Linked DNA regions of Xenopus tropicalis. Each later gene encodes a partner of the first gene's protein in a complex. Links are inferred from orthologs where the notes say so. Each region holds a gene or a part of one and is shown in the gene's direction. Other genes may lie near its edges.

The links. The genes of interacting proteins can lie anywhere in the genome.
Region 2: the proteins of eif4a1 (region 1) and pdcd4 are in contact, whole or in part, in a crystal structure (PDB 2ZU6), measured with the Homo sapiens proteins. The link is inferred for Xenopus tropicalis from reciprocal best matches to the Homo sapiens genes EIF4A1 and PDCD4. Residues at the interface, in NP_001407.1 of Homo sapiens: Gln75, Thr109, Arg110, Glu111, Ile135, Gly137, Val140, Thr158, Gly160, Arg161, Asp164, Glu186, Leu188, Ser189, Arg190, Gly191, Phe192, Gln195, Ala214, Thr215, Met216, Pro217, Glu240, Leu241, Thr242, Asn280, Thr281, Arg282, Arg283, Thr329; in NP_055271.2 of Homo sapiens: Pro170, Gln173, Glu174, Glu177, His178, Glu183, Glu186, Met187, Asp190, Leu209, Glu210, Lys212, Glu249, Leu250, Leu252, Asp253, Thr254, Pro255, Arg256, Gly320, Gln321, Gln322, Ser323, Val324, Leu327, Glu348, Lys352, Glu355, Val356, Pro357.

Annotation. Positions count from the first base shown.
Region 1 is NC_030679.2:152,586,003-152,589,459, reverse strand, and holds the end of eif4a1 (eukaryotic initiation factor 4A-I), read left to right. Parts: intron 1-381; coding exon 382-491; intron 492-785; exon of another isoform or gene 786-926; intron 927-1,008; coding exon 1,009-1,152; intron 1,153-1,488; coding exon 1,489-1,626; intron 1,627-1,859; coding exon 1,860-1,949; intron 1,950-2,032; coding exon 2,033-2,112; intron 2,113-2,312; coding exon 2,313-2,457; 3' UTR 2,458-2,903; downstream 2,904-3,457. UniProt on the Homo sapiens protein: ATP-dependent RNA helicase which is a subunit of the eIF4F complex involved in cap recognition and is required for mRNA binding to ribosome.
Region 2 is NC_030683.2:2,643,376-2,647,054, reverse strand, and holds part of pdcd4 (programmed cell death protein 4), read left to right. Parts: intron 1-1,471; coding exon 1,472-1,693; intron 1,694-2,183; coding exon 2,184-2,281; intron 2,282-3,679. UniProt on the Homo sapiens protein: Inhibits translation initiation and cap-dependent translation. May excert its function by hindering the interaction between EIF4A1 and EIF4G. Inhibits the helicase activity of EIF4A. Modulates the activation of JUN kinase.

The DNA of each region.
Region 1 (3,457 bases):
TTGGGTTGGGCCACTAATTGCAGCGTAGTACAGAAGTGCTCAGGGACTTGGATTGTAAGCTCTGTGGGCCAGAGTGTGCGGTATTAATATGCTCACTACCCATCAGCAAAGAGGAATCTGCCATAGAAGTGCCTATAATGTGTAGCTCCACCCCCCGTCACTGGGCAAGGGCATGTCACGTGGCATCGCTGCTTATATCTGGCGGGGGCAGAGAAACCTCCCATATTCATCCCAGCGCTGTGCCCCCATGCCTGCTGGCTGGTTCATGCTGTGGGCACAAATGCCAGGAAGGGGGGATCCAGCTGTGAGTGGGGCGGAGCATACATTGAGTACGTTGTCGCGTGGCGCCAGTGCAGCACTCACTCCGCTCTGTATCCGCAGCCCCTAAATACATAAAGATGTTCGTGTTGGATGAAGCCGACGAGATGTTGAGTAGAGGTTTCAAGGATCAAATCTACGACATATTCCAGAAGCTGAGCAGTAATGCCCAGGTAAGTGCCCGCAGCCTCTGCCTGATTGGCCTAACCTCCCCGGCTATAGTCCCACCCTCACGGGGCACGTGCTGAGCAACAACATCCTGCCCCGAGGTACCACATTCCCTCTGTCTTGTGGTTTGTACAATGCTGCACTGATTGGAGAACGACTCCCTGTACAGCCAATGAGAGCTCATGCCCTCCCCCTGTCATTTCCTCTCAGCCAATGAGACCTTATGCCCTCCCCCTGGCATCTATTGGCCAATAAGACTGTTCATGGTTGCCCCCAGACTCACTTTCCAATGGGGGCTCAGTGTAGTGATGATATCCCATGCGTGTCATCTGATGCCCACGTCTCTCTCTGCCCTTGGCCTGCGCAGCCTGCGTCCTGCGGGTTGGGTTTGGCTAGAGCAGAGGAGTCTGGGAAATGATCTGACTGTCTATCTGAATACTTGCCCCCCTTGGAACATGAAGAGGCAATTGGCTTGGTGCTGGGCAGTTAGTGGCTGCAGATTAACAGTGTCTTCTCCCCCAGGTGGTTTTGCTCTCGGCCACCATGCCCGCCGACGTGCTCGAGGTGACCAAGAAGTTCATGCGGGACCCCATCCGGATCCTGGTTAAAAAGGAGGAGCTGACCCTGGAGGGTATTAGGCAGTTCTACATCAACGTGGAGCGAGAGGTAGGTGCCTTCCTCTGGGTTCCATTGGCCCTGGGGGGTGGAGCAGTCGTTGGGATTGCACCATTACCCCCTCATAGGGGAAAGCCAATAGGAAAGCTTTAGTATATGGGGGGGGGCGAGGGTGGAAGGTGCCCCGTCACTGGGCAAGGACTGGTCTGTCTGTGACTGTGCTTCTTATATCTGGTGGGGCGAGAGCAGCGGCCCATATTCATCCCAGCGCGGCTCCTCTGTGCCTGACGGCTGGTTCATGCTGTGGGGACACTTGTAGTGAGGGAGGGGCCAGGCTGGATGGGGAGGAGCTTCCTTTTGCTGAACCCCTTTTGCCCCCCGATGCAGGAGTGGAAGCTGGACACATTGTGTGACCTGTACGAGACACTGACCATCACGCAGGCCGTAATCTTCATAAACACGCGCCGGAAGGTGGATTGGCTGACGGAAAAGATGCACGCGAGGGACTTCACTGTCTCCGCCCTGGTGAGTTTTGCCATCGGCCGCCTGTGGGGGTGCCATGATTGCACCCAACCCCCGTCACTGGGCAAGGACTGGTCATGTGACTATGCTTCTTATATCTGGCGGGGGGAGAGGAAATGATCCCATGTTCATCCCAGCGCGGCCCCCCCTGTGCTCGACAGCTGGTTCATGCAGTGGGGACACGGCCCCCTGGTGGTTTCTAGAGAGGAATTCTCACCCCCTTGTTCCCCCCCCAGCACGGCGACATGGACCAGAAGGAGAGAGACGTCATTATGAGGGAGTTCCGATCTGGATCCAGTCGGGTTCTGATTACCACAGATTTGCTGGTGAGTTGGTTGGTTCTGCTTGTGGGGCAACCCGCTTGGTTCTGCTTGTGGGGGTGTTCGCTTACAATGTGTTCTGCCCACAGGCCCGAGGCATTGATGTCCAGCAGGTCTCACTGGTCATTAACTATGATCTGCCGACCAACAGGGAGAACTACATCCACAGGTAAGTGGGCCGGCTCCTATTGGGCCAAGGGTATTCCCTCTCTGGCCAGTAGCCCATGCTGGTGTCAGAATGTAGACCCTTGGTATAGTAACGTCCATGCTCCACCGCGGTTCATGCTGCCTTTGTGTTCCGCAACTTAAACATGGCCGACACGCCGCTAACTGTGGCTCCTCCCCCTCTAACCTGTCCTGTTCCTTTAGGATTGGCCGAGGGGGCCGTTTCGGTAGGAAAGGAGTTGCCATTAACATGGTGACAGAGGATGACAAGCGCACGCTGAAAGACATAGAGACTTTCTACAACACCACAGTCGAGGAGATGCCCATGAACGTGGCCGACCTCATCTAACGCCCCCGCCGCAGTCGGAGGGGCAGAAAAACCCGAAAAAAACAGAAAAAAGCATAAAATGAAAATAAAAAGTCGGCCCCGGCTTTCTTTGGGGCATCCGCTGAATTATGGGGGTGTATAGAGCAATGACCATAGCGCCCCTGAGTGGGCGTAGCCTCCACTCCCTGTCACATGATCTGATTTTCTTTCCAATAAATGTTATTTTGAGGTATTGTGGCCGTAACCTGCATCCGTTGTTTCTTTCCTTCTGAAGTGAACACTAAACGTCACTTTTTCCCACCAAATCAGTGGACCAAAGTCCCCCCCAGCTCATCCCTTTAAGATCCGGCAGCTCAATGTGAGTTTTTTCTTTTTTTTTTTTTTACAAAACTCCCCAAAATTTAAAAAATACCATTTTATTTGCTTTTTCTGTATAGTATTTATTAAATAAAAATTTTTGCAACATAGTTTTGTCTCCTGTCTTAAGGCTTCACCCCCCTGCCCCCCAATAACCCCCCTTGTTTTATTACCCCCCGTGTAGGCGCTGTTTTTGGTGGGAAAGGATTTTCGGGCTGTGCTGCCCTCGCACGACTCAAGCGTCTATAGATAGATTGCGCCGATGATGGTTCCCGAGCTGCAATATGATTGGCCGTGGCACTTAACGCTTTAAGTGCTTGGCCATATGTCTCCCAGGTGCTCTGTTGCCTAGCAACGCATATTCCCTGTAGGGAAATAACATGGAAATGTATTCTGTGAATTGGTGACTGTGCCGAGCGTTACTGGGGGGGAGGGACATTCTCAGTTGGCTGGGAGCCCCCCTGTATTGCTCAGCCATGGTCCCTTATTAGGAGGGGCCCCATTTCCCTGCCCTAGTTACCCCATGCCTATTGCTATGTAATTAGTGCCCCTATTCCCATCAGCAGCTCTTCCTGCCCCGGTACATAGGGCATAACCTGCTAATGGGGCAGTTGGAATGTTGGTGGGATCAGGGTCTTTCTGGAAAACGCGAGCTGTTGGGAAA
Region 2 (3,679 bases), on another chromosome or scaffold:
AGTGTGACAACCTTCTTGTAAACATACTCACCACCTTTTTGCCTTAGGGTTACCTTTGCGGCACTATAGGACTGAGCCTTGCGAGATACATATAAGGAATGATATACTTAGTTTGGGTTTGGTGAGACCAGGGCCAAGCCTGCTGTAGAGAGATTATTAATTCAACATACTAAAATGTTAATGCAGACACACAGAATGTACTGGATAACTCCAGATAGTCCTATAGCGAAATTATATAGTATAATATGAGCACTAGACAAAAAGTTACCAAATAGCAATGAATTATCACTATGTTTGTATATCGATAAATAATTATATTATAGTACGGCAATGAAGAAACGCCTCAATGACAGAGCGCAACAGTGCCCTAATGAAGGGCTGCAGATGATACAGCATCCTAAAAAGATATACTGCAGCAGATTATATTAATGTGCCATACATCTCCTCTCTGAACTGTAAAGGGAAAACTGTTGAAACACATACTGTATTCAATAGAATGACCAGACTTCCTGCAGTTTTACATATGCTGTAAAGTACAGATAGGAACAGGAAGAGAGGGAAAATAGCCAAAGAAGAGGCCATAGTGTAACACTAGGGCAATACCCCAGGGAAAATAAAAGACTTAGAACATATGCCAAGAATTATTGGTGAAACACTGCGTCCATAAAAAGCTGTTTAGGAGTTAAAACTAAACCAGCCTATAAATATATGGTAAAAGATCATAATATTAAAGAGCTTGCTCCATGTGTCCCAATATAAAATGTAACTGCCGGACTGTGTATATAGAAATGAAAGTATTTGCTATACAAATAATACTGAGTCTTAACGACAGATTAACACTGATGAAATGTTCTTTGGTAATAATTTAATACCATATTCACCACTTTTGCACCCCTGCATCATAATACTCATACTTACAGTTTGGATGCAAACACCGGCTTATTGCGCATATCCCAAAGGCTTTGCGACTGACTGCGATGGTAGGCACAATTCGGCCATGGTTCAGATTGAACCCTCACAGGCCCCACACAGGCTATAATACCCGGACCTGGAGCTTCAGCAGGTAGAGCTCAGACATCCTGCCGGTACTAGGGGTGAGCTCGAGTGACAGAAAATGAGATGGATGCCTGGGGGCGGGGAGCCAAATTTATTGAGAACTTGTTAATTATGGTCACGTGACAGGGGATTAACCCATAGTTGCCCACTGCCATGCGAAGGAACAGGAAAGACTCTCTGCCCCACTCCCTGTAAGCTTCCATCTGGGTGTTCTAGTCCCACCCACTGCCTGAGTCACAGACCCTCTGCCACGCTCCCTGTAAGCTTCCATCTGGGTGTTCTAGTCCCACCCACTGCCTGAGTCACAGACTTTTTGCTCCCTGTAAGCTTCCATCTGTGTGTTCTAGTCAACTATTATTAGAATACATGTTTTTGGGGGGCAATATGAAGCTATTAAATGTCTGGTTTCCTGCAGGAAATGTTAAAAGGTTTAAACCTTGGTGAAATGAAATGTGGCCTGCCGGTGTTGGCCGTGTCCCTCGCTCTGGAAGGGAAAGCCAGCCACCGGGAAATGACATCCAAGCTTCTCTCCCATCTCTGTGGGACCCTACTTAGCACTGAGGATGTAGAACGTTCATTCGACAAACTCCTCCAGGAGATGCCGGAACTGGTTTTGGATACACCCCAAGCTCCACAGGTTTGTTCATGTGCGATATGGCATTTTCACTATTATTGGTGCAAATCCACAGGTTGCACATCAGTGTCATAAAATAGATTTGTTGTTGGGATCTTCACTTAGAAAATGAATCAACTTTGATGCCCTGAAATCTCCAGAACAAAAAGCTAAAAACAGAAAAATCAATAAAAAAATAACATTAAATTGCAAGTTTTTGTGTCATACTAAATATTCATGCTCTGCCTTCCCTTTTTTTTATTAGCAAACAGTGCTTGTGCTCTGCCATAACAAATATCCACTTAGGAGGGAGAGGGCACACAGGACTTTTTCATAAATTTATTTATCTACCTGACGAAAGCTCCTGTGTGGAGCTGAAACGTTGGTCTCAATAAACCTCTGATTTATTCTATTTTTGGTCTTGCGACTCTTTTGTGAAAATCCTGTGTGCCGTCACTCCAGCCTGTATATATCTATATGCACACTGCCTTTGCTCACAGTGTTATCTTTTCAGTTGGTGGGCCAGTTTATTGCCAGAGCTGTTGGAGACGAGATCCTGAGCGCCACTTACTTAGACGGCTACAGAGGGACAGTGGACTGCGTTCATGCTCGGTGAGTTTTTCCTTGGGCAACCCATCCAGGAAAATGTCCGCTATGGAGTTTGTATCTCAGCCAGCCAATCATAGCAAAATATCTCTGCGACGACCAATTAATGAAACGTATTTGTTAGCTAGCAAATTTAAGTTTCCATAGCCAAGACATGAAATAATACAGTTTATTTGGTAATTAAAGAAAATGCTTTAACTGACTAAACACACCCTGTATCCCTGTATGTACAGTGGAGGAAATAATTATTTGACCCCTCACTGATTTTGTAAGTTTGTCCAATGACAATGAAATGAAAAGTCTCAGAACAGTATCATTTCAATGGTAGGTTTAACAGTGGCAGATAGCACATCAAAAGGAAAATGGAAAAAATAACTTTAAATAAAACATAGCAACTGATTTGCATTTCATTGAGTGAAATAAGTTTTTGAACCCCTACCAACCATTAAGAGTTCTGGCTCCCACAGAGTGGTTAGACACTTCTACTCAATTAGTCAACCTCATTAAGGACACCTGTCTTAACTAGTCACCTGTATAAAAGACACCTGTCCACAGAATCAATCAATCAAGCAGATTCCAAACTCTCCAACATGGGAAAGACCAAAGAGCTGTCCAAGGATGTCAGAGACAAAATTGTAGACCTGCACAAGGCTGGAATGGGCTACAAAACCATTAGCAAGAAGCTGGGAGAGAAGGTGACAACTGTTGGTGCGATTGTTGGAAAATGGAAGGAGCACAAAATGACCATCAATCGACCTCGCTCTGGGGCTCCACGCAAGATCTCACCTCGTGGGGTGTCAATGATTCTGAGAAAGGTGAAAAAGCATCCTAGAACTACACGGGAGGAGTTAGTTACTGACCTCAAATTAGCAGGGACCACAGTCACCAAGAAAACCATTGGAAACACATTACACCGCAATGGATTAAAATCCTGCAGGGCTCGCAAGGTCCCCCTGCTCAAGAAGGCACATGTGCAGGCCCGTCTGAAGTTTGCCAATGAACACCTGAATGATTCTGTGAGTGACTGGGAGAAGGTGCTGTGGGCTGATGAGACCAAAATAGAGCTCTTTGGCATTAACTCAACTCGCTGTGTTTGGAGGAAGAAAAATGCTGCCTATGACCCCCAAAACACCGTCCCCACCGTCAAGCATGGGGGTGGAAACATTTTGCTTTGGGGGTGTTTTTCTGCTAAGGGCACAGGACAACTTATTCGCATTAACGGGAAAATGGACGGAGCCATGTATCGTGAAATCCTGAACGACAACCTCCTTCCCTCTGCCAGGAAACTGAAAATGGGTGGTGGATGGGTGTTCCAGCACGACAATGACCCAAAACATACAGCAAAGGCAACAAAGGAGTGGCTCAAGAAGAAGCACATTAAGGTCATGGAGTGGCCTAGTCAGT